Anolis sagrei: one gene and its partners. The protein of the gene in region 1 binds, or shares a complex with, the protein of each later gene. Links are inferred from orthologs where the notes say so. Each region holds a gene or a part of one and is shown in the gene's direction. Other genes may lie near its edges. The genes, in order: UPF3B, RBM8A, UPF2 and CASC3.

Region 1 (7,818 bases):
AGGCGAGAAGGAAAGAAGAAAGCAGAAGAAATAAATGAAAGAAGGAGCAAAGGAAGGAGGGAAAGAAGGAGAGAAAAAGGCGGGGAAGGTTGGCCACAGCAACGCGTGGTGGGTACAGCTGGTATAATATAATATTTTGTATATACCTATAATATTTATATTATAATGTACTACAATATTATAATAATAATATATTTTATATTACACATAATATTACAGATAATATTACAATATAATGGTATAGTACAATATAATAATATATGATACTGATATTGTACTATGATAATAATATAATATATTGTATGTATATACATCTTGTAAGCCACTCTGAGTCCCCTTCGGGGTGAGAAGGGCAGCATAGAAATGTCGTAAATGAATAATAAATAAGAGGATTTTATCTGCTTCCCATTCATCTGATCAGGCTACTCCTTCAGACAGACTGCTCCGAAAAGAGGAAAACCATCATTGAAACGGAACGGAAAGCAAAATGGAAAAGTGTAAAAATGGTAATCTCTTAAGAATAATGTTTTACAAAAAAAGGGTTCTGAGAATTTTATCTGATAACATTTCATAATAGCAACAACAATAATCTTAATAATAATCTCAGGCTCTGATAATTTCATCTGATGACATTTAATAATAATAATAATATTTTAATAATAATCTCAGACTATGAGAATTTTATCTAATAACATTTAATCATCACCATCATTTTATCTTAGTAATAATCTCAGGATTTGAGAATATTATCTGATGACATATAATAGTAATGAGGTACAAAGCCAGTCTTCAGAAATGGGGCCACAAAGTCCACGACATGCGAGTGTGGAGGAGAGCAAACCACTGACCACCTATTACAATCCAGCTTGAGCCCTGCCACATACACAATGGAGGACCTTCTTATAGCAACACCAGAGGCATTCCAAGTGGTCAGCTACTGGTCAAAGGACATTTAGCATAATGCCAAGTGTTGCAAACTTTGTGTTTTTAAATACGAGTTGAGTACCCTCAGCTCATTTCTAAAACAATAAATAAATAGTAACAACAACAACAATTTTATCTTAGAAATAATATCAGGTTCTGAGAATTTTATCTGATAACATTTCATAATCATAATTACTGTTATTGTGGCTAGTGGCTCAAGGCGGGTCACAGCACAGTCAAAACACACAAACATTGCGAACATTCTTTAAACGCACATATTAAAATCAAGTTATATAAAATATATAAATATATATTTCTATAAAATACACAAAACAGAGACAAGAGTTTCAAATTCATGCTTAAAACTGGCTAGAAGAGAGAGGTTTTTAGATTGTTTTGTACTATTCAATGCTCCTCTAGGTATTGTTTATTGCATTCATTCTTTTTCAAAAACAGAGGCTAAAAACCCTCTGTCACTAAATACGAAGACTATGAAGTTTAGACAGAACTCCTCTCTGCAACCAAGGCAAACATGTGGCGTTTTAATGTTTCTTTTCATTATCTACCTTGGACTCGAAGTAACGGTCGGTTCCAGAAACCCTCCTGTCTCTTTCCATCAAGTGCCATTGGTAGGTGTTCCGGGCAATGCGCTTCTCCTGGGACACACAAAAGGGTTGGGAAAAACAAGTCAAAATCAAGGAGAAAAGGGATAAAATGTATAAGCGTATAATCCAACATAAAAAGGGGAAAAAACCCCAGACAACTGGAATAGAGGATGGTAGATGCAGCCCTTTTCTTTGGGTTAGAAGCACGAGAGAAGGCTAAAGACCTTGCAAAATGACAACCCCCACAATTCGAATCATATCAAGACAGGGTATCAAACTTGTATTCATTCTACAGTTTAGATCCACCATATTATAATTATTGTGTATTTATGGTTGAAGCCTGAATATTGTGTATTTATTTATATCCAACATTTACATTAGGATAATTATTATGTATTTATTTATATTTATTTATATCCCGTATTTATCATTATTATGCACTAGCTGTCCCCAGCCATGCATTGCTGTGGCTCAGTCTGTGTTTTGTGTGTGTATATATCTGTGTATATATTTGTGTATATGTGTGCTTGCCTATATATATGTGGTTTTGCACATGCCTTGTAATGTATTTTTTGTTTTTGAGCCTTTTATGTCCCTTCCGCTGTGTTTTCCAGTGTTTTTATGAGTGATGGTCACGTTGGCCTGATAGGTGTTTTGCGTCCAAATTTGGTCTCAATTCCTTCTGTGGTTCTTGAAATATATTAATCCCACAAATGAACATTACATATTTATTTATACAGATTTATGGTTGAAGGCTGAATATTGTGTATTTATTTATATCTAACATTTACATTATAATTATGATGTATTTATGTATATCCCACAACAATTTTGTTGTTGTTCATTTGTTCAGTTGCTTCAGACTCTTTGTGACCTCATGGACCATCCCATGCCAGAGCACCCTGTCGGCCGTCACCACCCCCAGCTCCTTCAAAGTTAAGCCCGTGAATTCAAGGATACCATCCACCCGCCTTGCCCTTGGTTGGCCCCTCTTCCTTTTTTCTTCCATTTCCCCCAGCATCATTATCTTCTCTAAGCTTTCCTTTCTTCTCATGATGTGGTTGTGCTGTCGCACGCTGGGCCTGTGCATAAGGCTGTAGACAGGACATAAATTCTGAGTGCCCAACGGGATGCCGGGGCTGCCTCAGATTAAAGGCCCTTGGATTTCCTTAAAACAAAGTTCTGTAGAGACTTAAAGTAAGTCCAACAAAGTTCTTTATTGATTAAAACAAACAGGTACTTTAAAGCTTTTTTTAACGGTCTATAGGCTCTTTCAATCTTGTCCATAGGGAACAGGCACTATCTTCATAACTGTATACTAACTAATGGGGAAATCCTTAACTTCTAATCTGGGCAGTCTGTCTTTGCCTCTGTTGGCGTGGAGCCCCTGCACCCGGTACCAACTGCGTCTGGCTTCCACGAGCGACCCTTACCAAGCAGAGCTTTGTAGACTTCCAGGGGAAAAGAAGGAGTTCAGGTTGCTGTGTTGGCTGGCTGAAATCCCTCCGCAAAGGAGCTGTAACTTTGCAAAATCCTCAGCCAAGCTGTGGGCCTTTTCTCCCCGGCCAAGCTGTAGGCTGTATATCTCCCCGGCCAAGCTGTAGAAGACGAAGCTTTCTACAGGAGCTCTTGATATTATGTCCTGCATGGAAGCTTCTCTGTGTGGACTGACCCAAAAAGGCTCCTATTCCCTCCAAAACTCAAAAAGGGGCGCGACCAGGGAACCGAACTATAATTGACAGGTGGCTTGCCCTATGATTGCAGCCAAAAGAAGCCACCTATCTGCAGAGTCCCTGAAACTTATGACTATAACAAACATTCAGTGCAAAGGAAACTGGTACAGCTGTACGTGTACAGTGGCCAAGGGACTTTTAAATGACCGTTAAATCATTATGTACTAATATATTATTATTATAATATATTATTATATATTAATATAATATCACATATTAATATATTATTATTATAATATTATGTACTAATACATTGCATGTATATTATTATTATGTATTTCTTTATACCCCACAATTACATTATGATGTATTTATGCATATCCTGCATTATGATTATTATTTTGTATTTATGCCTATTCCATATATCTATTCTCCATCCTGTATTTACTCACATCCCTCATTATTATGTATTTCTCTATTACTCTGACTCCTCCCTGCCTGCCTCCCTCCCCTCCATTCTGTCCCAGAATTCCCCGGGAGGTTTCCAGGGCGGCCCAAGCGGGACAGACGCGCGATAGCGTGGCGGTGTGGCTGACCTTGCCCCCGTTGGTGTACTTGTGGATGAAGGTGGTGGAGAAGCCCGGGATGGTCAGGCAGACGTACATCACCGTCAGGCTGGGAAGGATCTCGTACCACATCGTCTTCTCCTCAGGAATGCAAGGGCAGAAAAAGCTTCTCTCCCTCTCTTCCGTCCTGGCGTCACTTCCGCTGGTGTCGCTATGGGGATACAGGAGAGAAACGTCTCTCGCGGCCAATGGGAGTGAGCGGGAGGCGGGGCCGAGGGAGAGCGGCACTGCTCAGGCGCAAACTTTCCTCCCTCCGCTACTGTGGGTATGGGGATACAGGAGAGAGACATCTCTCGCGGCCAATGGGAGGGAGCGGGAGGCGGGACTGAGAGAGGGTGGCATTGCGCAGGCGCAAACTTTCCTCCCTCTGCTACTGAGGGTATGGGGATAGAAGAGAGAGACATCTCTCGCGGCCAATGAGAGTGAGCGGGAGGCGGAGCTGAGGGAGGGCGGCACTACGCAGGCGCAAACTTTCCTCCCTCCTCTGCTGTCGCTATGGGGATAGAGGAGATAGACATCCTTCGCGGCCAATGGGAGTGAGCGGGAGGCGGGGCTGAGGGAGAGCGGCACTGCGCAGGCGCAAACTTTCCTCGCTCTGCTACTGTCGGTATGGGGATAGAAGAGAGAGACATCTCTCGCGGCCAATGGGAGTGACCGGGAGGCGGAGCTGAGGTAGGGCTGCACTGCGCAAGCGCAAACTTTCCTCCCTCCTCTGCTGTCACTCTGGGGATAGAGGAGAGAGACATTTCTCGCGGCCAATGGGAGTGAGAGGGAGGCGGGGCTGAGGGAGTGCGGCACTGCGCAGGCGCCACTTTCTCTCCACCTCCTTGTGACGGAGGGAGGAGGGTTTTGTGACTTACCAAAAGGCAGGGCGGAACTGCGCAGGCGCAGGCTTTCCTCCCTCCCTTCCCCCTCCCCCGCCGCTGCTGTTGCTATGGAGATGGAAAAACCGTTGCGGCCTTCCGCGGCGACGTCACTTCCTCAGCTCTGTTGCCATGGGGATGAGGGAAGAGGCTCTCGCGAGAGGAGCGGCGGCCAATGGGCGAGCGGGACGGAGCGGAAGACGGGCGAGCGGGGCCTTGTTGTTGGCTCTGGCTGGCGCGGCGTTGAGGATGAAGGAAGGCAAGGAGAACGCCAGGCCCAAAGAGAAGCGGGGCGGCGCCGCCTCCTCCTCCGGAGCGGGAGCCCTGGCGGTGGGCGGGGGCGCGGACGCCAAGGCCGGAGGGGAGCCCGACAGCAGGCCCCGGGACAAGAAGGAGCTCCTCAGCAAGGTGAAGGGAGGAGAATATAGTCATTCTATAACAAATGTGTCTTATATAGGATGTAAGAGGAATATAAATATAATAAGAATAGATATGCAGTAATAGAATGAGAATGATAAGAAGAGAAATAGAATTAACCTATAACAAATGTGTTTTCTATAGATTATAAGAAGAATAGATATGTAATAACAGAATAGGAATGATACAAGAAATAGACTAAGAATTGCCTCAACCTATAATAAATGTATTTATGTAGAATATAATAGGAATAGAAATATAATAATAGAATAAGAATGATAAGAAGAGATGTAGAATAAGAATATACTCAAGCTATTATAAATGTATTTATGTAGAATATAATAGGAATGGAAATATAATAATAGAATAAGAAGAGATATAGAATAAGAATATACTCAAGCTATAATAAATGTGTTTATATAGAATACAATAGGAATAGAAATATAATAAGAATAGATAAGTAGTAGTAGAATAAGAATGATAAGAGAATAAGAATATGCTCAAGCTATAATAAATGTGTTTTATATATATTATAATAAGAATAGATATGTAATAATAGAATAGGAATGATAAGAAGATAAATAGAATAAGAATATATTCAAGCTATAATAAATGTGTATATATAGAATGTAATAGGAACAGAAATATAATAAGAACAGATAAGTAGTAATAGAATAAGAATGATAAGATAAATAGAATAAGAATATGTTCAAGCTATCATGAATGTGTTTTATATAGAATATGAGAAGAATAGAAATATAATAATAGATATGTAAAAATAGAATAAGAATAAGAAGAGAAATAAAATAAGAATATTGTCAACCTATAACAAATGTGTTTTATATAGAATATAATAAGAAAAGAAATATGATAAGACTAGATATGTAGTAATGGAATAAGAATGAAAAGAGGAGAAATAGAATAAGAATATAGTTCATCTGTAATAAATGTATTTTATATAGAATATAATAAGAACAGAAATATAATAATAGAATAAGAATGATAAGAAGAGAAATAGAATGGGAATGTAGGTAATCTATAATAACTGTGTTTTATACAGAATACAATAAAAACAGAAATATAGTAAGAATAGATATGTAATAATAGAATAAGAACATAAGAGAAATAGAATAAGAATATAGTTAACCTATAACAAATGTGTTTTATATAGAATATAATAAGAATAAAATTATAGTAAGAATGGTAAGGAGTAAAATAGAATAAGAATATTCTATAATAATGTGTTTTATATAGACTATAATAAGAAAAGAAATATAAGAATATATCATAATCAACCTATAATAAATGTGATTTATCTATAATGAGTCCCCTTCAGGTGAGAAGAGTGACATAAATGTTGTAAATTAATAAATAATAAACTATAATAATAATAGAAATTGAATAAGAACATACTCAACATACTCAATATAATAAATTTGTTTTATGTATACTGTAATAAGAGAAATATAAGAATACAGTCAATATATAATAACCATAGATATATAGTAAAAAATAAGAATAAAAATATAGTAAGAACATTATAATCAAAAATATAATAAGACTAGAAATATAATATTAAGAATATGATAATAAAAATATAAATATAAGAATACATATTTTGTTACCCAGAGTATAGCAAAGTCAATAACCTATGAACATAACTTTTATATAATAAAATATAAAGAGAAAAAAGACATAATTATGAAAATGTACACCGCACACAGGGTTCAAAATCAACATAAAGCAGCAAGGGAATGTCAGTCAAACCTCATGATAGAAAGTTGGCTGGGTCGGCCTTCTACCGGAAGAGATGGATTTTCAATTCGGGCTTACATTCCAACAGTTTTTATGGGAGAACCAGTTAGGAAATGCCCCAACCCAGGAACGACAATTGTGTTACATAGTGTTGTTTGGAACAATTTATTTGACAAATTAAGGTGTTTGTAAAAACCGACACTTCCTCTTGCAGGTGGTGATTCGCCGCCTCCCTCCCAGCCTAACCAAGGAGCAGCTTGAAGAACATCTCCAGCCTTTGCCGGAACACGACTACTTTGAGTTCTTTGCTAATGACACCAGGTGAGAGGGCCTTTCAAACTCTGCCCGTGTTGCATGTAACGGTGGCATGTCATTTATGTCTTTCAGTTTTACACCCGTCTTGTGTTTTGGTATATTTACAGTCATCACTCAGCGACGTTTCCTTATACATTGCCATTTTCTGTCCTTCTGCAGTTTGTACCCTCACATGTTTTCCAGAGCATACATCAACTTTAAAAACCAAGAAGACATAGTTCTGTTCAGGGATCGCTTTGATGGTTATGTTTTTGTTGATCACAAAGGCAAGTATGCCTGAAACTTGGCTATGTATATCATATCTCTGTTTTGTCCAAATATATATTGGCATAAATTGGTGAAAATAATTCAGTCAATCCAGAGGCCCAGAAACGGGGTAGAATTGCCTGCATGGTCTGTGCCGAGCCAGTGTCATCCAGAATTTAATTTGAAAAATCCGATCATTGCTCATCTGAGATCGCATGCAAAGGGCTTTGGGTGGGGAGGAAATGTAGCCAGCTTCACAGCAAAGGATCCATATTAATGTGTGGTCCATTGTGTGGTGTAGCAACATCTGATTTTAGGAAATGTAATAAATAAGGAAGAGTGGGGATGACTTCTGCCCCATACAATGGACACCAAGACTTGCTTGATATGGCTG
Region 2 (7,440 bases), on another chromosome or scaffold:
CCGCCCATTCTCCCCTTGAGAGTATATATAGCCAGTAGGAGGGGCTATTACCTCGGATCCACTTCAGCCATTGTTGCAATGACTTTTCCCATTTGTTCAAATTTGGACTTGCAAAGATTTCAGTCGTTGTTGCAATACTTTCTTCCGTCAAAGCTGAATTTACAAAGTTGTTGTTGTAACGCCTTTCCCCATTATTCAAACCTGGACTTGCAAAGATTTTTGCAATACTTTCTTCCGTCAAATTTGGACTTGCAAAGATTTCAGTCGTTGTTGCAATGAGTTTTCCTCATCGTGGTCCCTGTGAATCGCACATATAGTATCGCCTGCGCAGACAGTTCGGAATCTTCTAGAAAACTTACTAGACACTTTTAGGTGGTAGCCCCGCCCACTCTCCCCTTGACGAGTATATATATCCAGTGGGAGGGGCTAGGTACAGTATTAAGTGGAAGTGTAGCATTGCCAGGAAAAAAACCTTGTTTTTGGTTTCTTGCTATGGATATAATGCCTAATTTTTAGGAATCTCGTGCATAAACCGTATGGAAGGGAAGTGTTATATTCTTCAATGGATAGGATCCATAATTGTAGGGAAAGTCACATAGTGAAGATAGGCTCTGCGTTACAACCCCAGAAGCACAAATTCGAATTCATTTGGTTGGAAATTTCCTAAAATTTCCGATTTGTTTACATTCAGAAAGGGATTTTCGTACGAAAAATTTCCGAGATCTAATGGAACGTAGTCTCTTCCCAAAATTGAGGGGCGAAAACACTTTTGGCCCCTGCGATTCGTGTCCCGGAAATAAGTCTTGTACCTTTTATATATATATATATATTAAAGTATATGTATCTATTTTTATATAGCACTTTGTTTACACTGCAGTATTGATGTTTATAAACGCATTTACTACAAAACGGCCCTCGAAGGGTTGCCTCCGGTTTTGTTCTCACGATGTTCTGTACTGGTTTTTGTAATTTTTTAAAAGTACAATAAAAGTAGCGTATCCTGCGTGGCTCGTTCTTTTCTTCATACGCTTTCCCCTTCGCTCTTTCCATCCTTTCTTTCCCTCTTCCGTTGCTTTGCTTCATATGCCGTTAGTCCTCTTCGTTTCTCGTTCTTCTCACTCCGTCCCTCTTTCCCTTCTTTTCCTTTCTTTCCTTCCCTCCTCTTGTGCCTTTCCGTCTTTCATTTCTCTTCCTTCCTTTTTCTTTCTTTCCTCAGTTATTTCCCTTTTCTTCTTCTCCTCCCCTCATATCTTTCCCTTCTTTTTCATCTTTTCCTCCTTTTTCTCTCCCTTCTTTTTCTTTCGTTCTGCCCTCCCCTTGTACCTTCCTCCTTTCCTTTCTCTTCATTCCCTCCTTTTTTCTCTCTCCCTTTCCTCCCTTTTTTCTCCCTTCCCTTCTTTTTCTTTCTTCCCTCCCCTTGTACCTTCTCCCTTTCCTTTCTCTTCATTCCCTCCTTTTTTCTCTCTCCCTTTCCTCCCTTCCCTTCTTTTTCTTTCTTCCCTCCCTTTGTACCTTCCCCCTTTCCTTTCTCATTCCCTCCTTTTTTCTTCCTCCCTCCCTTTCCTCCCCTTTTTCTTTCTTCCCTTCCTTTACTTCCCTTCTTTTTCTTTCTTTCTTTCCTCCCCTTCTACCTTCCCTCTTTCTTTTCTCTTCATTCCCTCCTTTTTTCTTTCTTCCCTTCCTTTACTTCCCTTTTTTTTCTTCCCTTCCCTTGTACCTCCCCCCTTCCCTTTCTCTTAATTCCCTCCTTTTTTCTTTCTTCCCTTCCTTTACTTCCCTTTTTTTTCTTTCTTTCTGTCTTCCCCTTGTACCTCTCCCTTTCCTTTCTCTTCATTCCCTTCTTTTTTCTTCCTCCCTCCCTTTCCTCCCTTTTTTCTTACATCCTTTCCTTTACTTCCCTTCTTTTTCTTTCTTCCCTTCCTCCCCTTCTACCTTCCCGCTTTCTTTTCTCTTCATTCCCTCCTTTTTTTCTTTCTTCCCTTCCTTTACTTCCCTTTTTTTTCTTTCTTTCTGTCTTCCCCTTGTACCTCTCCCTTTCCTTTCTCTTCATTCCCTTCTTTTTTCTTCCTCCCTCCCTTTCCTCCCTTTTTTCTTACGTCCTTTCCTTTACTTCCCTTCTTTTTCTTTCTTCCCTTCCTCCCCATCTACCTTCCCGCTTTCTTTTCTCTTCATTCCCTCCTTTTTTTCTTTCTTCCTTTCCTTTACTTCCCTTTTTCTTTCTTTCTTCCCTCCCCTTGTACCTCCCCCTTCCCTTTCTCTTCATTCCCTTTTTTCTCCCTCCCCTTTCTCTTCCTTCCCTTCCCTTCCTTTTTCTTCCTTCCTTCCCTTGTACCGTACCCTTTTCCTTTCTCTTAATTCCCTCCCTTTTTCCTTCCTTTCCTTCCCTTCTTTTCTTTCTTTCTTTCCACCCCTTATACCTTCCCCCTTTCCTTTCTCTTCGTTCCCTCTTTTTTTCTTTCTCCCTCCATTTTCTCCTTTTTTTCCCTTCTCTTCCTTTACTTTCCTTCTTTTTCTTTCTTTCTTCCCTCCCCTTATGGCAGAACCAATTAGGATCTACCATTTATTATGAAATTTTGAAACTTTTGTTAGAGTTCTGAAATTTTCACCACCACAACTTTACCAACACTGTAAAAGCAAAGCACCAGCGCCCCCTAGTTTTCACTACCAGAACTTTAGTTTTGTAAGTACTTTAGAACCATAGATTGCACATGCCTAGTGTGTATGTGTACACACACACACACTCCACTTGCTACCTCTATGCAAATACCCTTTCTGACTGACTTTGCAAATTTCACGGCTGCTCAAGGCTATTCAAGCTTTCTCATCCACACTTGCTTCACACAGACGAGGGTTCTTTCTCCCACCCTGGACTTCATTCCACGGGGATATATACACTCCACTTCCCTCACTACTTCTGTGCAGATACCCTCACTGATATCTATTCAGCACTACCCACACTTGCTTACTGCAACATCCACACTTGCTTTAAACAGACACGGGTTCTTTCTCCCACCCTGGGCATGATTAACAACACTACCCATTCAGTGCTAAGGCTCCACGCCAAAATGGAACTGTAGAGGAGAGTCTACTGAACGAGCCAGTACCTGCCACATACATTGCTTAAGTCGCATTGACCGACCGTCTGTGCAGGGTTCCATACTTTGCACTTTAACAACACAACCGTTCAATGCTAAGGCTTCCCACCAAAATGGAACTGTAGAGGAGAGTCTACCGAACAAGCCAGTACCTGCAGCATACATTGCTTAAGTCGTATTGACCGACTGTCTGCGCAGGGCTCCATACTTCACGCTTTAACAACACAACCGTCCAATGCTAAGGTTTCCTGCTAAAATGGAACTGTAGAGGAGAGTCTACTGAACAAGCCAGTACCTGCCACATACGTTGCTTAAGTCACATTGATCGACCGTCTGTGCAGGGTTCCATACTTTGCACTTTAACAACACAACCGTTCAATGCTAAGCCTTCCCGCCAAAATGGAACTAGAGAGGAGAGTCTACCGAACAAGCCAGTACCTGCAGCATACATTGCTTAAGTCGTATTGACCGACTGTCTGCGCAGGGCTCCATACTTCACGCTTTAACAACACAACCGTCCAATGCTAAGGTTTCCTGCTAAAATGGAACTGTAGAGGAGAGTCTACTGAACAAGCCAGTACCTGCCACATACGTTGCTTAAGTCACATTGATCGACCGTCTGTGCAGGGTTCCATACTTTGCACTTTAACAACACAACCGTTCAATGCTAAGCCTTCCCGCCAAAATGGAACTGTAAAGGAGAGTCTACTGAATGAGCCAGTACTTGTCGCATACATTGCTTAAGTCGCATTGACCGACTGTCTGCGCAGGGCTCCATACTTCACACTTTAACAACACAACTGTTCAATGTTAGGGCTTCCTGCCAAAATGGAACTGTAGCGGAGAGTCTACTGAATAAGCCAGTACCTGCCGCATACGTTGCTTACATCGCATTGACCAACTGTTTGCGCAGGGTTCCATACTTTGCACTTTAACAACACAACCGTTCAATGCTAAGGCTTCCTGCCCAAATGAAACTGTAGAGGAGAGTCTACTGAACGAGCCAGTACCTGCCGCATACATTGCTGTCCAGGGGGAGGTGGCCTACAGAAGGCTCAACGTTAAGAACGGAAACTACCAAGAGAGCGTTTCTCTTTCCACCTCCAGACCCTTCCCTTCTTTTAAGTCCAACCACGAAGGCTTTGCCTGCCAGGTGGGGTCCGGATCCACCCAGCCGTTTTTGAACCTTGTTGGGACAAACCAACAAATCCACGTCGACGACCTTCTCAAGATGGCGCCTGCGCGGGGGACGCCGCGTTTCTGCGCAGGCGCGACTGGGCGACCTCCTCTGGACGTCTCCGCCCCCTTCCTTTGGCGCTGAAGGGAGTGCGCATGCGCAGAGACGCTCCTTCTCTTGCTGTGTGGGAGTAGGCCGCGGAGCCTGTCGTGTCGTACTCTTCGGTGTTTCGGGCTCTCCTCGCGATGGCGGACGTCTTGGACCTCCACGAGGCCGGCGGAGAGGACTTCGCCATGGACGAGGACGGCGACGGTGAGTGAGCAGCCCAAGCCAGGCCCTGGCCTCACTAATTTAGGGCCCGCCTGAGGCCTAGTCGCCTCCGGTTGAGCGGAAGTGACGTCGAACTACATCCCCCAGAAGCTCTTGCCGGCCACGGCAACGGTGGAGCATTCTGGGAAATGGAGTCCAGTACTACTTTAGCGCCTATTGCGGCCTGTAGCGTGTAGATGGATGGACAAATAGATAAATAAATAGATATACACAATGCTCTCTTGCGTGTAGATCTCTTATCTGTATTTTATTATTAATTAAATTTAATAATATGTAATTTTATGTGTATCTATCTATTATTTATTATGTGTATTATTTATTATGTGTATCTGTATATATATATATATAATTTGGATCTTACATTTGGGTCTATATATTTTTATTATTTAATAATATCAATAATATAATAAATAAATATATTATTTGTATTTTATTATTAATTAAATTTAATATATAATTTTATGTGTGTCTATTTATATTATTATTATTTGATGCAATACATTATATAATATATTATAGTGTGTGTATATAATTTTGTGTCTATATCATTTAATATAATTTAATAATAATATTTAATAGTAATTCAATAAGTTTTATATGTGATATAATATATTATTTTGTCTGTGTATATATATATAATTTGGATTTTAAATGTGTGTCTATATAATTTATTATTATTATTTAATAATATAATAAATAAATAAGATTATTATATGCAATATATTATATTATTTTATGTGTGTTTGTGTGTGTGAATAATAAAATATTATTTCTATTTTATTAATTAAGTTTAATATATAATTTTATGTGTGTCTATCTATATTATTTATTATGTGTATCTATATTATTTTTATATGAAATATAATATATTATTTTGTGTGTGTATGTATATATATATGTATAATTTGGATCTTAAATTTGTGTCTATATAATTTTTTATTTAATAATAATATTAATAATATAATATTAAAATAAGATGATTATATGCAATATAATATATTATTTTGTGTGTGTATATATATATAATTTGGATCTTAAATTTACATCTATATAATTTATTAAGTTGTAATGTTTTGGATTGTGAACCGCTTTGATTCTTCGTATGGAGAGATCAAGCAGGATACAATAATAATAATAATAATAATAATAATAATAATAATGTGTATCCTAAATTGTAGAAGTGATCAGCCTTCATTGTATGTTTTTTCCCTCTCTCTCACACACACACACACACACATATATATATATCTTTGCGCTCCTCTGTCTTATCTATGTATATAAACTATGTTAACATACACCTACTGTGGTTGTTGTTGTTGTTTTGTGAATTTGACCGTTGTTTAATCAAACTCTATGTGGTCTCTCTGCAGAAAGCATCCACAAACTGAAGGAAAAAGCAAAGAAAAGGAAAGGCCGAGGCTTCGGATCAGGTAAGGCGACTCAACCTTATGATGATGGTGATGATGATGAAGATAATAATAATTCACCTTAATAGCAATCCTACAAAACTCATCCTGTTCGTACCTTGCCTATATTAAATAGTGTTGAGTTTGATCCATGCTGTGCCTTACTTTGGGGTGGGAAATATATACATCTATTATTATTATTATTATTTTCATATTAATATTAATATTATATTATTATTATTAAATTACATATTAAATTTAATTAATAATAAAATACAAATAATAATATTATATATATATATATATACACACACACACACAAACACACACAAAATAATATATTATATTGCATATAATATTTATTATATATTATTAACATTATTATTAAATAATAATAAATTAGACAGATTTAAGATCCAAATTATATATACACACACACAAAATAATATATATTGCATATAATAATCTTATTTTATTATTATATAATAATATATTGCATTAAATAATAATAAATAATATAGATACACATAAATAATATAGATAGACATGCATAAAATTACATATTAAATTTAATTAATAATAAAATACAAATTTTATATATATATATATATATACACACACACAAACACACATAAAATAATATATTGCATATAATAATCTTATTTATTTATTATATTATTAATAATATTATATTATTATTGTGGGAGAGAAGCCTCCCACAAGGATGATAAAAACATCCAATCATCTAGGTGGCGTCCCCTGGGCAATGTCCTTGCAGACGGCCAATTCTCTCACACCAGAAGCAACTTGCAGTTTCTCAAGTCGCTCCTGACATGACAAAAAATAATAATAATTACTATTATTATCATATTAGTTTATTATGTAACCTTAGCGGTTGTACGTTTTCGGTAGTGTGTTTTTGGCTGCTTTGGGTCTGTTTTTAAGAGAGAGCTTTAAAGTACATTCTAAAGTACGAAAACACTAGATGTTACGAAGAAGAAGCAAGTTTAAAATAATATAATAATAGTTTTGAAGCTGTATGTTTTATTTTTCACCAATGTAAGTCTCTAAGAGAAAAAGAGAGATATTATTCATAACTAGCCGTCCCCTGCCATGCGTTGCTGTGGCTCAGTCTGTGTATAAGTGTTTTGTGTGTGTATATATGTGTACATGTGTATATATGTGGTTTTGCGCACGCGTTGTAATGTATTTTTTAAGTCCCTTCCGCTGTGTTTTCCAGTGTTTTTGTGAGTGATAGTCACTCGTTGGCCTGATAAGTGGATTGTGACCAAATTTGGTGTCCATTCGTCCAGTGGTTTTTGAGTTATGCTAATCCCACAAACGAACATTACATTTTGATTTATACAGATAAGTAAAAAGCACCTAAGTAAAAAGCACTTTAAAGGAATAGGTAAATCCAATTAGGTAAGAA
Region 3 (7,055 bases), on another chromosome or scaffold:
TGGGCGAGCCCAAATTGGCTCGGCGCCCTTGCAACGTGGGTAGGCATGCTCCAACCGGACTCTCAGGGCGCAGTGATCCGACCATGGAACCTCTATTGTGGAGGCTTGGGTCACTTGAATTCCTGCGCTGAAAATCAAATCTAGCGTGTGTCCCGCCCGGTGCGTGGGCCCAGTACTACAAAGCGAGAGTCCTAGTGTCTCCATGGTAGACACTAGGTCCACAGCCGCTAATGAACAAGAGTTTGCATCAGCGTGGACATTGAAATCCCTCAAAACGATAAGTCTGGGGAACCTCAAGGACCACTCTGACACAGTCTCAAGCAGCTGGGATAGGCTGTCTTTTCACACAACAATTACTCAATTACATCTGCCCCAAGTGTAAACAGATCACTCACATGGAACAGAGGATCCAACAACTTGAGGACCGTATTAAGACCCTTAAGGACATTCAGGAACTTGAGCTGTTCTTAGACACCACACACCACACTGTCCTAGACACGCAGCCCATAGCACACCAACATTATGGGGAAGCTCAAGAGGAGATCACCTCAGATGTGGACAACCCTCAAGCTTGGAGGCATGTCACCCTTAGAAAGAAACATAGGACCCGGAAGACTCCTCAGAATACCTCTGCCCAACTGCAGTTACATAATAGATTCCAAATTCTCACACAACTATCACTTGACCAAGAAACACAACATATTGGGGAAGACCAGAATGGCTTAGATACTGATCAGTGGCTGGTCCTTGATCAGTGTGCGAGGGATAGCCCTGACTGGGACAACACTTCACAACATTCACACTTACACAATCGTGCAGGTGTACCATCCCCAGCCATAGACCAGGTGCAACAGGAACACATACAGGAGAACGATAGGTTCTTGGATGAATCTCAATGGATTGTCCTTGACGAATGCACCGGGGATGTTGAGGAGGAGAACAACACTTTACACCTACACAATTCACATCAACAGGATCACTTTTCTGGGGACCTACACACTACATTGCACAAAAGGGACCCTGTCAATCCTGAAAGTAAACAGGTCTTGGTAGTGGGCGACTCCCTCCTTAGAGGAATGGAAGCCGTCATTTCCAGACCAGATGGGATGGCTCGAGAAATATGCTGCCTACTGGGGGCAAAAATACACCATAATCACTCCGAGGCTCACCAGGCTCCTCAAGCCCCATCACCGTCCTCCCCTCATGTAGGAACCAATGATACTGCTAGGCATACTTTTCAAAAGATCATAAATGATTTTCAAGCTCTCGGAACAAAGCTCAAACAATGTAATGTACAGGTGGTCTTTTCATCCCTCCTCCCACACACTCATATAATCCAGTTCAAAACAGATGTGTCTTATCTGATTTGATAATCTGGATTATATGGCAGTGTAGAAGGGGTTCCAATTCAAGACAGATGTGAATTATCTGATTGGATAATCTGGATTATATGGCAGCGTATCAAGAGCCTCAGAATGCAGATGCTTTGAACTGGATTATCTGAGGGGACTTCCACACAGCTGTATAAAATCCACAACTGAACTGAAAATAAATAAATAAATGATCTGCTTTGAACTGGGTTATATGGCAGTGTGGACTCAGATAACCCAGTTCAAAGCAAATATTCTGGGTTATATGTGGAAGGGCTCACATAGAGGTCCCTTTGACCCTTCTCTGTGGTGGCTCCTCGGCTGTGGAACTCCTTGCCTAGGGATATTAGATCAGCCCCCTCCCTCCTGACCTTTCGTAAGAGAGTGAAAACCTGGCTCTTCGAGCAGGCATTCGGAACCCCGGAATAGTCAAGATTGAGATGGAGAATGACCCAGGAACGGCCAAGACGATGAAACGGATGAGGATTGGATTGAGAGGATATAGCTCTTTTTAAATTGTTATTGCACTGCCTTTTTTGTCTAAATGCACTTAATTGTTTTTGCTTTTGTATTGTATTGATGGCATCGAATTGTGCCGATATGTAGACCGCCCTGAGTGGCCTGCGGGCTGATATGGGCGGGATATAAGTGATGTAAATAAAATAAATAATAATTAATTATCTGGCAGTGTGGGCTCAGATAACCTAGGGATAACACACAGCCATATATCCTTCTTCTTGGGCGATCCCTCGTTGGACGAGTAGGATGGTCTTTCATGATCAGTATTCTTGTGGATCCGTAGGTGGCTGTGGAGCCCTATTCTTGATCTGCATCTTCTCCCGCAGTGAGGGCATTGGTTTCCAGGTGGAAGGCGGTCTCGGTCGGGGTTGGCTTGACGCACCTTCCTCCTGGCACGTTTATCTCTTTCACCCTCCATTAGTGCCTCTGTTTGTTTTTATTTTCTTTGGAAGATGCCTGTGCTTGAGTTTTTTTAAAATGTGTGTAGGTCAGTGCACAACTGATCAACACACAGTCTTCACAGAGTGAGGTTCCACTGGTGGTGTAGTTTAACACAATGACCGTGGCCTCTCAATCTGTTGCAGCCTTCTTCCGCCTTCACAGTTGTTGTAACATGTACCATGTTATCCTCTGCCATTGAGGTCTTTGGGTCTTCGGACACAGCTATATAACCCAGAATATCAAGGTAGATAATCCACAGTATTGATTTAGGATTGTCTGCGCACCCTCATCTTTCTTTGAAAACCCTATCCTAGCTTATACCCTACCTTGTTCATGCCCAGCATTATTTTTTAAATTTTAAATTATTACATTTAGCCCGGCCATAGGTTTTTAAATGCTTGTATGTTATTGTTTATTTTTTGTTTTGTCATTGTATTTCACCAGGATGTTGTAGTCACCCGGCAGGACTGGAAGATAGGACACGGTACAAGTGCCATCCTGGTTATCAGTGCAGCCAATATCAGCCTTAGAGGGGCCTTCAATGGCCAGAGAGAGGTCACCTTCTCCTGCATCTTTTGTATTGACAGTGAAGACTCAGGCTTGTTGACTACTCCATGGATAAGACCTGGCCCATAGGCAGTCACATGGCCACTGTTGACATAGCTGACATAGAATTGAAGGGGACTGCCTGGGATGTGCATATTGTTATAGCGGATGTCCATCTCATGTAAGCCAGCTTCTGTGGGTGCATAGCGCACCGTCATGGTGCCATCCTTGTTCTCTGTGGTGTCTGGCTTTGCTACCTTGCCAGATGGCATCCGCACCTCACCTGTTAGCTCTCCTTTCTTGATGGTAAAAGGGATAATCAAGTCGAAAGGCCGGAGTCCAGCATCCAGTCCATTGATGGGATGGTCTGCTGCCGTGACCTGGAAAGGACTGTTGCGGATATTTTTGTTTATGAGATTTATTTTACCGTTTTGTATTGATTATTTTTGTTATTGCCTTCGTTTTATTGATGTACTGCGGGCTTGGCCTCATGTAAGCTGCACCAAGTCCCTTGGGGAGATGGTAGTGAGGTACAAATAAAGTATTATTATTATTATTATCTGCTTTGAACTGGGTTATCTAAGTCCATACTGCCATGTATTGCAGTTCACAGTAGATATGTGCGATTTTATACAGCTGTGTGGCAGGGCCCCCAGTTCAAAGCAGATATGATGGATTATCTGCCTCGATATTCTGGGTTATATGGCTGTGTGGAAGGGCCCTGAGCCTTCACTGCCATCTAATCCAGCTCATCTATGAGCTGGATTATATGGCATTACAGAGATCCAGCCTCAGAGTTCTCCTGACCGCAAATTCGATTTGAATTGTTTTGAAAAGCCAAAGGCGTTGGGCGAGGAGAGGGAGGGGCGGAGGAGCGAGCGCCACTCAGCCACTTCCGCCTCCCCTGGTAACCAAAGCACGGGGTTGCCCTGCTCTCTCCCGCTCTCAGGACCCTACCTGAACGGAAGCTGTCCAGAGCACTGCCTGATTCGCTGCCGCCCTCCCCATTCCCGTTTCCTTCCAGACGCGGGGTTTCAGTTCCACTTCGTCGAAAGCGGATTATGCAGGTGTATTTCTATTCCTCGCGTTGAGTCCGAGGAGAGGGAGCTGGCGAGCGGCGAGGGGGCGCTTCCGAGCAGGCGCGGCGTGGCCACCCTGGGGGGCGGGGTCCTCGTCCTGTGGCGAGTGGGAGGGAGGAGGGTGTCAGAAGAGAGAAACTGGCGGAGCTGGAGCTGCAGAAGCTGGGACCGATGTGGACCGCGGGCTGAGGTAACGAATCCCGGCCGGGCCGCTCTGGGCGGCGTGGAGCCACGGGGGAAGCGAGGCCTCCTGGTGCGGGGAGAGCGGGGAGGCCCGACGGCGCGGAAGGAGGAGCGGGAGGGCGGGAGGCCTAGTGACGCCCCCTCCCAGAGCCAGCCCTCGTTCGCGCTGCTTTCGCCCCCCTTTCTCACGTCAAACTCAATCACACCCCTTTGACAGGGCGCTGGGAAGAGTTCTGGACTTGTTTGGGGTGTTTTCAACGAGCCATTCCGCTCCTGTTTCACCCCGCGCGTTGCTAAGGCCGTTGGGAGTCACTGCATCTGCACTGGGGAACGAATGCAGTTTGACACACATTTGAACAGCTATGGCTCGAGACTAGGGAAGCCTGGGAGTTGTTATTAGTATTAGCCGAGGCCCCATCCACACCTGTATAAAATCCCACATTTCTGCTTAGAACGGGAATATACGGCAGTATGGACTCAGGGTCCTTCCACACGGCGTAATAATAATAATAATAATAATAATAATAATAATACACTTTATTTATAACCCGCTACCATCTCCCCAAAGGGGACTCGGTGCGGCTAACATAAGGCCAAGCTCAAAATAATACAACATAATAAACACATAGTAACAAAATACATAGTAACAAAATATAAAATAACAAAATCAACAATATAAAACAGCATATTAAAACCAGACACGGAGGGCGAGCCAAATGTATGAGGTAAAATGTTAAAAAGTTAAAACCCTGGGTGAGATAGGGATAAAAGTGCATTTGTAGGAAAGGAGCCGAATAGGGAGGAACCATGGGATTTAGCCATTGGGGGGATTTTGGCAATAGAGGGTGGGATGCTTTATTCTGAGGGCAGCTGTAGACTAAGACAACCAGATGGGTTGAATGGTCGTTCTCCAAAAGCACAACGGAAGAGCCAGGTTTTTTGGTCTTTCTTAAAACCAGCTAGGGTGGGGGGTTGTCTGATCTCCTTAGGCAGCAAATTCCAAAAGCGGGGGGCCACAGCAGAAAAGGCCCTCTCCCTTGTTCCCATAAGACGAGTCTGTGATAGAGGAAGGGGCGAGAAAAGGGCCTCTTCAGCGGATTGAAGAGATCGTGCAGGTTTGTGATAGGAGATTTGGTCACATAGGTAGTTGGGTCCCAAACCATTCAGGGCTTTGTAGGTAATAACCTGCACCTTGAATTGGGACCAGAAAATGAACGGCAGCCAGTGGACCTCCTTAAACAGGAGCTCCATTGGCTATATTATTGTTGTTGTTGTTGTTGTTGTTGTTGTTGTTGTTATTTCATATATTTATATCCCGCTCTTCTCCCCACAAGGGAGCATGAACTCACATGAGCATCAGAGGACGCTAACAGCATAAATACCATAAAAATTACAATCTTCTATATAAATAAAACTGTAATGTTCGTTTGTGGGATTAACAGATCTCAAAAACCACCGGACGAATTGACACCAAATTTGGACACAAGACACCTAACAACCCAATGTATGTCCTTCACTAAAAAAAAAATGATTTTGTCATTTGGGAGTTGTAGTTGCTGGGATTTATAGTTCACCTACAATCAAAGAGCATTGTGAAGCCCACCAATGATGGAATTGAACCAAACTTGGCACACAGTTCTCCCATGACCAACAGAAAATACTGGAAGGGTTTGGTGGGCAGTGCCCTTTGGTTTTGGAGTTGTAGTTCACCTATATCCAGAGATCACTGTGGACTCAAACAATGATGGATCTGGACCAAACTCTACACAAAGACTCAATATGTCCAAATGTGAACACTGGTGGAGTTTGGGGAAAATAGAATCTTGAAGTTTGGGAGTTGTCGTTGCTGGGATTTATAGTTCACCTATAATCACAGGGCATTCTGAACCCCACCAACGATAGAATTGGGCCAAACCTCCCACACAGAACCCCCATGTGGACCACAGCAGTGCGTGGCAGGAGACAGCTAGTTCACAATAAAACCATTTTAAAACATTATACAACATCATCAGTAAAATTTAACAATAAATTAATAGATTAACATGCCAATAAAACCAAGCCGAGCTGGGAGAATCCATATCGCAAAATCCAAATTTCCTTTTCCTATTGTCGCTGGCCTCTAATCGAGCGCCTGACCCCAGAGCCAGGTCTTCAGTTGTCTTATAAAGGACAGGAGGGAGGTAGCCAACCTGATATCCTTAGAGAGTTCCACAGACCGGGGGGGGGGGGGGGCACTGCCGAGAAGGCCCTATCTCTTGTCCCCACCAACCGCGTTTGCGAGAGTGATGGGATCGAGAGCAGGGCCTCTCCTGATGATCTTAAGCTTCATGATGGTTCATAGCAGGAGATACGTCCGGAGAGGTAATCTGGGCCAGAACCGTTCAGGACTTTAAAGGTTAAAACCAGTACTTTGAATTGTGCCCGGAAGCTAATCGGCAGCCAGTGGAGCTGGCGAAACAGAGGAGTGATATCCCAGAATATCCATTTTGAACTGGGTTATCTGAGTCCACATTCAGATAATGTGGGATTTTCTGCCTTGATATTCTGGGATACAGGGCTGTGTGGTAGGACCCTGAGTCCACACTGCCATATATTCTAGATCAAAGCAGATAATGTGTAAATATCAAGGCAGATAATCCTCTGGGTTGTTGTAGGTTTTTTCGGGCTGTATGGCCATGTTCTAGAGGCATTCTCTCCTGATGTTTCACCTCCCTCTATGGCAAGTATCCTCAAAGGTTGTGAGGTCTGTTGGAACTAGGAAAATTAGATTTATATATCTGTGAAATGTCCAGGGTGGGACAAAGAACTCTTGTCAGTTGGAGCTAGGTGTGAATGTTTCAACTGACCACTTTGATTGGCATTTGATGGCCTGACAATTTTTAGATGTGTCTTATTAGTGACTGGGGAAATCCTTTGT
Region 4 (6,869 bases), on another chromosome or scaffold:
ACCTGTATTTTTTTAAATGTAGTATCAAAATATATACAATAGAGTGACTCATTCCCAGCAGCAGCTCTGGAAATAGTATTGTATGTCATGCTTTGCCTAAAAAAGGAAAATTTACTTTCTGCAGTAGAAACGATACAGCCAATCATAGGAACATTTAAATGGAACAGGTTGAACTTGCAAATGAGAATGCCATCATTGCGGTTTTGCACAAGGGCCCTGTGTCTTTGAGACATGGTGGTTTTTGAGTCTAGAAAAGGCAGCCAGGACCATTTAAATTTGTGGGGTTTTTTTTGGGGGGGGGGGCAGGAAGCAGTATCTGTCCTCCCTTTCAACATTATTATAGCTAAGTTGGTTTAACAAAGCATACATACTGATATTATCAAAAGCAAAACAATAAAAGGAAAATTACAAGACTGGAAAAACAAAAAAGCGAAAGTGCATGAATTGGTTTTAGGCATACTTTTTAAAGAGTATTCTAAAATTGCGAGACTGCATGTGGCAAGGACAAATTCCATGTTGCAGATGTTTAGAAAAAAATAGTGCTGAACCTTGTCATAAACATCTATAGTGTAACATCATATAGAATATAGAATAAATTCTGCTTGTTTCATCTTAAACCCACAACACATCTAGAGCAGTAAAAGGCAAAATGTGGTAGCTGAATGTGTTGATCTTAGAGAAAGTCTATGGGGGTTTTCAGCATAGAAAAGAAAGGGGCATGACAGACACCATAAAATGATGCATGTTGTGAAAAAAGTGGACAGGAATAACGATGTTAGATATGCAGCTCTTCAGTGAAGCTGCCCGGTGGCGCAGTGGGTTAAAGCCCTGTGCCAACAGGACTGAAGACCAACAGGTCGCAGGTTCGAATCCGGGGAGAGGCGGATGAGCTCCCTCTATCAGCTCCAGCTCCTCATGCAGGGACATGAGAGAAGCCTTCCACAAGGATGATAAAACATCAAATCATCTGGGCGTCACCTGGGTAACGTCCTTGCAGACGGCCAGTTCTCTCACTACAGGAGTGGTCGCTCCTGACACGACCAAAAAAAAAAAAAAGTGAAGCTGTATTGATTCAAAACAGACAAAGGTACCCGATTCCTACAACTATGGCGTTAAAAGCACTGCCCTTATTCTACAGGGGTTTATGAATAGTACCTAAAGATGTTGGGTGTATCTACACCAGGGGTCCTCAAACTAAGGCCCCGGGGGGGGGGGGGGGGCGGATACGGCCCTCCAAGGTCATTTACCCAGCCCTCGCTCAGGGTCAACCTAAGTCTGGAACGACTTGAAAGCACACAACAACAACAACTACAATCCCATCCCATCCCATCAACCAAAAGCAGGCCCATACTTCCCATTGAAATACTAATAAGTTTATATTTGTTAAAATTGTTCTTAATTTTAATTATTGTATTGTTTTTAAGTGTTTTTTGCACTACAAATAAGATATGTGCAGTGTGCATAGGAATTCATTCATGTTTTTTTCAAATTATAATCTGGCCCTCAAGCAGTTTGAGAGACTGTGACCTGGCCCTGTTTAAAAAGTGTGAGGACCCCTGATCTGCACTCTAGTATTATTGCAGTTTGACACCACTTTGACTGCCATGCTCAATGCTATGGAATCATTGGAGATGTAACTATGCAAGGACTTAAGCCTTCTCTGCCCAATAGTGCTGCTGATTTTCCAATCTACAGCTCCCAGGATTCTGTAGCAAACTATATTAATTCTGCAGTGTAGATGCACCTGTTGATGGGCCTCCCATGTCCTTTGGTAGCATGCATTTGCTGGGAAAAGAAACACTGTCCTTGTGTCCTGACTCTGGACTTTTTATTAGCATCTGTTTAGATAGTGGGTAAACATGATACTGGACTGGGCTAGTCTTTGATGTGATCCAGCCAAGCTCCTTTTTATGTTCTAACTTTTATGATTAGACTTGGTTCATGTTAACCCAGTTGATAGACTATTTCAAAATTATACTGTTTTTGCATATCATTTTCAGTGCCAGGTTTCTCTTCATTTTTTTTCTTTTCTACAAGTGGCAACCGGTTTTTCCTAGGTAATGAGATTGGGTAGATAATAGGAAGGCGAATGGTTGTTATGGTTAATGTTAGTTGAGCCTTATAACCTAAGTCACTTTAAATAAACAAAAATATTGTTCCAGCATGCAGTATAACTGGGTTTGTATTTTCCACCAGCTTCCTGGACCTAGCATGCCACTGCAGGCTCACCCGCTTTTGCATTACAGGTTGGCCATCCCTTATCTGAAATTCTTGGGAAAAGTGTTTTGGGTTTTGGAACACCATTACTTGCATAATGAGATATCTTGGAGATGGGCCGCAAAATTTATGTGTGCTATGGCAGGCCATGGGGCAACTTCGGCCCTCCGGGTGTTTTGGACTTCAACTCCCACAGGAATTGTGGGAGTTGAAGTCCAAAACACCCAGAGGGCCGAAGTTGCCCCATAGCCTGCCTTAATATGCATAGCTTGAAGGTACATTTATCCAATATTTTTAATAATATTGTGCATGAAACAAAGCTTGGGTACCTTTTGCCACCAGAAAGCAAAGGTGTCAGTGGGTGCATCTACCCCAGGCATGGGCAAACTTTGGATGTTAGGAATTGTGGGAGTTGAAGTCCAAAACACCTGGAGGGCCGAGGTTGGCCCATGCCTGCCTTAAATGCATATCTTGAAGATTAATGTATTCAATTGTGCATGAAACAAAGTTTGGGTACATTTTGCCACCAGAAAGCAAAGGTGTCCGTGGGTGCATCTACACCAGGCATGGGCAAATTTTGGCCGGCTGTTAGGAATTGTGGGAGTTGAAGTCCAAAGCACCTAGAGGGCCGAAGTTGGCCCATGCCTGCCTTAAATGCATAGCTTGAAGGTTAATGTATTCAATTGTGCATGAAACAAAGTGTGGGTACATTTTGCCACCAGAAAGCAAAGGTGTCAGTGGGTGCATCTACACCAGGCATGGGCAAACTTTGGCCGGCTGTTAGGAATTGTGGGAGTTGAAGTCCAAAACACATGGAGGGCCGAAGTTAGCCTATGCCTGCCTTACATGCATAGCTTGAAGGTTAATGTATTCAATTGTGCATGAAACAAAGTTTGTGTACATTTTGCCACCAGAAAGCAAAGGTGTCAGTGAGTGCATCTACACCAGGCATGGGCAAACTTTGGCCAGCTGTTAGGAACTGTGGGAGCTGAAGTCCAAAACACTTGGAGGGCCGAAGTTTGCCCAAGCCTGATCTACACTGTGAGATCAATGCAGTTTGACACCCATTAATGACTATGGCTCAGTGTCAAAGAGCTCTGCCAACCTCATCAAACTACAAATCCCACAATTCCACAGCACTGAGCCCTGGGAATTAAAGCGGTATGGGTCTGCATTGATTCTACAGTGTCCATGCAGCCTTGCTTGAATTATTTTGGCTTTCGGAATTCTGGCTAAGGGCTGTGTCCAACCTGTTTTTCTCCATGCGGCCGGTTTACCCTTTTCATTCCCTCCGAAGCCTGTGCAACGCCCTGCCTCTACGCTTTCAGTCCTGCAGGATAAACAACAATGACATCACCGTCGCAGTGGGAAAGCGTCGAGGCAGTAGGGGGGGGAAGAGGGGGAGGTGTCAATCTTCGAGAAGCACGTGACCCTGTTGCCGAGGCGTCCTTCGGCCCGCCCACTGAAGAGCAGTTTGCCGTGACGTCATTGCTCCACAGCGCCTCCATTGGCCGCTGTCTTCCTTTCCTCCCCTTTTGTCTTTAATCCTATTTTTTGTTCTTCGCAAAGAATTCTGGGGGGAAGGGGAGGCATCGAAACGTGTCTCGCGCGCGCGCGCTGCGTGTCGGAAGTTGGGAGCTGGTGGGCGCGCGCCTTGCTCGTTACCCGTCATCCCTTTGGGCTCCGCCCCCTCCTCTTCCTCTTCCCTAACCGTTTCGCTTCTTGTTTCTTCTCGTCAAGATGGCGGACCGGAGGAGGCAGCGCGCTTCCCAGGACAGCAGTGAGGAGGACGAGTCGGACTCGCCGCCTGGGAGCGCGGCCCCTTCGCCGAGGGGCGCCCTCCGCCTCGGACTCGCCGGCTCCGCGGCCAACGCTAGCAATGCAGGCGGTGGAGGCACCGCGGTTGTTGTTACTGCCGTCGCCGCCACTGCTGTTCCTACCTCCGCCGGTCCTGAAAACGTGGAGGCGGCTCTGACGGCGGGAGGAAGCCCGGCCGACTCGGAGTGTGTGAGTACCTGGGCGGAGGAGAGGGAAGGCTCCGTGAGGGACTGGGCCTTGCACTAGGCCGCAGTTTGAAGCGCTCTGAGGTTTCAAGCCTCCTCAGGCCTTGGGGCTCTTCCACACAGCCAGATAACCCAGAATAATTATAATCATAATAATTTTGCTTCTTACCCACTCTCCTCATGGCTCAAGGCGGGTTGCAAAACAATTAAAACATATAAGCACAGCAAAACACTACAAATACACATACCACCATAAAAGTTACATACCAAAACATATCGCTGTGAAATATATATGGAAACAGACAAAACAAATTAAACAAAGGGCATGCATTAAAATTCAGGTTTATGTTTAAAGACTAGATAATAATAATAAGGTTTTTATTTATACCCACCCTAACTGTCCGAAGGGATTCAGGGCAGTTTTCATCAAAAGTGGCAAACATTTGATGCCATAATAAAACAAACAAATGAAATATATATGAAAACAGACAAAGGAAATTAAACAAAGGTCATGCATTAAAATTCAGGTTTAGGTTTAAAGACTAGGTAATAATAATGTTTTAGTAATAATAATGTAATAATCTGCTCTAGCTCCCCGAGAGGACTCCCATCAAAAGTGGCAAACATTTGATGCCATAATAAAACAAACAATAAATGAAATATATATGAAAACAGACAGAACAAATTAAACAAAGAGCATGCTTTAAAATTCAGGTTTATGTTTAAAGACTAGGTAATAGTAATAAGGTTTTATTTATACCCACCCTAGCTGTCCGAAGGGACTCAGGGCAGTGTTCATCAAAAGTGGCAAACATTTGATGCCATAATAAAACAAACAACAAATGAAATATATATGAAAACAGACAAAGCAAATTAAACAAATGGCATGCATTAAAATTCAGGTTTATGTTTAAAGACTAGGTAATAATAATAATAAGGTTTTATTTATAATAGTAGTAATAATAAAACTTTATACCCCGTCACCATCTCCCCAAGGGACTCGGAGCAGCTTACATGAGGCGAAGCCTAACAACACATCAAAAACAACAAGCAATAATAAAAACAACAAGCAATAAACAAAAAAACAATACAGTTAATATAACTCACAGGTAGACAATAACACATAAGAATTTAAAAATCTATGGCAGGGCCAGATGTAATAGTTAAAACTTTAAAAATAAATGCTGGACATGAACAGAGGATGTAACTAGTAGGGGAGTTTTAAACGAAAAGTAGAGAACAACCCAATGGGTAATTAAAGTGCTTCTCAGGGTACTTTGCAGGGGATTGTTTCCTTTATTCAGAGAAGGCACACTGGAACAGCCACGTTTTCAGGCTCCTCCTAAAGACTGCCAATGTGAGGGCTTGTCTGATATTCTTGGGGAGTGAGTTCTAGAGTGGGGGGGGGGGGGAAACCATGGAGAAGACCCTATCCCTCATCCCCAACAATCGCGCCTGCGAGGGAGTTGGGAGCGAGAGCAGGGTCTCCCCAGATGAACGAAGAGATCGTGTGGGTTTATACACAGAAATGCGGTCACCTGCCCTGGCTCCCTGAGGGGACTCAGGGAGGTTTCCATCAAAAGTGGCAAATATTCAATGCCACAATAAAACAAACAACAAATGAAATATATATGAAAACAGACAACAAATTAAAGGGCATGCATTAAAATTCAGGTTTATGTTTAAAGACTAGTTAGTAGTAGTAATAATAGTAATAATAATAATAATAATAATAATAATAATAATAAAGTTTTATTTATAACCTGCCCCAGCCCCTCGAGGGGCCTCAGGTTAGTTTCCATCAAAAGTGGCAAACATTCAGTGCCATAATAAAACAAAACAACAAATCAATCAACATAATAAATAAAACTTATGGCTAACCAATAATAACCAAAAAGTAAGAACTTAAATAAATGTAATACATCACATTTCACACATTTACCAGCAGCTAAAAGGCATTAAAATATTGGGTGGTTTACTGCAACCAACAGGGCTGAGGTAGCTTTCCAGTAGCTAAACGAGAGTACATAACTAAAATGTATTACTGATCCTTTCCATACGCTAAAGTGCATAAATAGGTTTTTAAGGAGCCCCCAGTGGCGCAGTGGGTTAAACCCGTGTATCAGTAGGACTGCTGACCAAAAGGTCAGCGGTTCGAATCCGGGGAGCTGAGTGAGCTTCCATCAGCTACAGCTTCTCAGATGGGGACATGAGAGAAGCCTCCCACAGTATGGTAAAACATCCTGGCGTCCCCTGGGCAACGTCCTTGCAGGCGGCCAATTCTCTCACACCAGAAGTGACTTGCACTTTCTCAAGTTGCTCCTGACATAAAAAGAAAAGAAGAAGCTTTGTAAAAGAGAGAATTTCTACTTCTTTGGGGAGGGATTTCCAGTGGTGGGGGGCGATCAAGGAGAAGGCCTTGTTTCTTGACCTGACCAACCATACTTGAGACGGGGGTAGGACCAAGAGCAGGCCTCCTCCATGGACCGCAATGCTTGTGGTGGTTTGTATATGGAGATGCAGTTTTTCAAATCATCTGGGCCCGAACCATTTAGGGCTTTATAGGTGATAACCAGCCCTTTATATTTCGCCAGGAATCAGACCTGCAGCCAGTGGAGCTGCTGTAGCATGGGAGTGGTTCTCCCTGTA

The links.
Region 2: UPF3B (region 1) and RBM8A share a complex: the UniProt entries of both Homo sapiens proteins name them as parts of the mRNA splicing-dependent exon junction complex. The link is inferred for Anolis sagrei from reciprocal best matches to the Homo sapiens genes UPF3B and RBM8A.
Region 3: the proteins of UPF3B (region 1) and UPF2 are in contact, whole or in part, in a crystal structure (PDB 7NWU), measured with the Homo sapiens proteins. The link is inferred for Anolis sagrei from reciprocal best matches to the Homo sapiens genes UPF3B and UPF2. Residues at the interface, in NP_542199.1 of Homo sapiens: Lys52, Arg56, Arg57, Tyr79, Glu81, Phe83, Asn85, Asp86, Thr87, Ser88, Leu89, Tyr90, His92, Tyr94, Arg96, Tyr98, Ile130, Glu132, Pro135, Phe136, Lys138, Ala139, Ala140, Arg147, Asp148, Lys150, Val151, Gly152, Thr153, Ile154; in NP_056357.1 of Homo sapiens: Lys767, Arg768, Pro769, Pro770, Leu771, Glu773, Tyr774, Lys777, Lys790, Arg793, Gln794, Arg796, Lys797, Leu798, Pro799, Trp800, Gln801, Cys811, Ile814, Asn815, Trp817, Tyr837, Gln838, Glu839, Asp840, Ile843, His844, Val846, Asp847, Gly848.
Region 4: UPF3B (region 1) and CASC3 share a complex: the UniProt entries of both Homo sapiens proteins name them as parts of the mRNA splicing-dependent exon junction complex. The link is inferred for Anolis sagrei from reciprocal best matches to the Homo sapiens genes UPF3B and CASC3.

Annotation. Positions count from the first base shown.
Region 1 is NC_090030.1:3,214,479-3,222,296, reverse strand, and holds the start of UPF3B (regulator of nonsense transcripts 3B), read left to right. Parts: upstream 1-4,808; 5' UTR 4,809-4,823; coding exon 4,824-5,099; intron 5,100-7,077; coding exon 7,078-7,184; intron 7,185-7,337; coding exon 7,338-7,444; intron 7,445-7,818. Other genes in the region: NDUFA1 (NADH dehydrogenase [ubiquinone] 1 alpha subcomplex subunit 1), read right to left, coding at 1,491-1,580, 3,799-3,900. UniProt on the Homo sapiens protein: Involved in nonsense-mediated decay (NMD) of mRNAs containing premature stop codons by associating with the nuclear exon junction complex (EJC) and serving as link between the EJC core and NMD machinery.
Region 2 is NC_090032.1:21,384,520-21,391,959, reverse strand, and holds the start of RBM8A (RNA-binding protein 8A), read left to right. Parts: upstream 1-4,425; 5' UTR 4,426-4,517; coding exon 4,518-4,584; intron 4,585-5,972; coding exon 5,973-6,032; intron 6,033-7,440.
Region 3 is NC_090025.1:90,733,957-90,741,011, forward strand, and holds the start of UPF2 (regulator of nonsense transcripts 2), read left to right. Parts: upstream 1-4,049; 5' UTR 4,050-4,145; intron 4,146-7,055. UniProt on the Homo sapiens protein: Involved in nonsense-mediated decay (NMD) of mRNAs containing premature stop codons by associating with the nuclear exon junction complex (EJC).
Region 4 is NC_090026.1:40,429,082-40,435,950, reverse strand, and holds the start of CASC3 (protein CASC3), read left to right. Parts: upstream 1-3,845; 5' UTR 3,846-3,957; coding exon 3,958-4,224; intron 4,225-6,869. UniProt on the Homo sapiens protein: Required for pre-mRNA splicing as component of the spliceosome. Core component of the splicing-dependent multiprotein exon junction complex (EJC) deposited at splice junctions on mRNAs.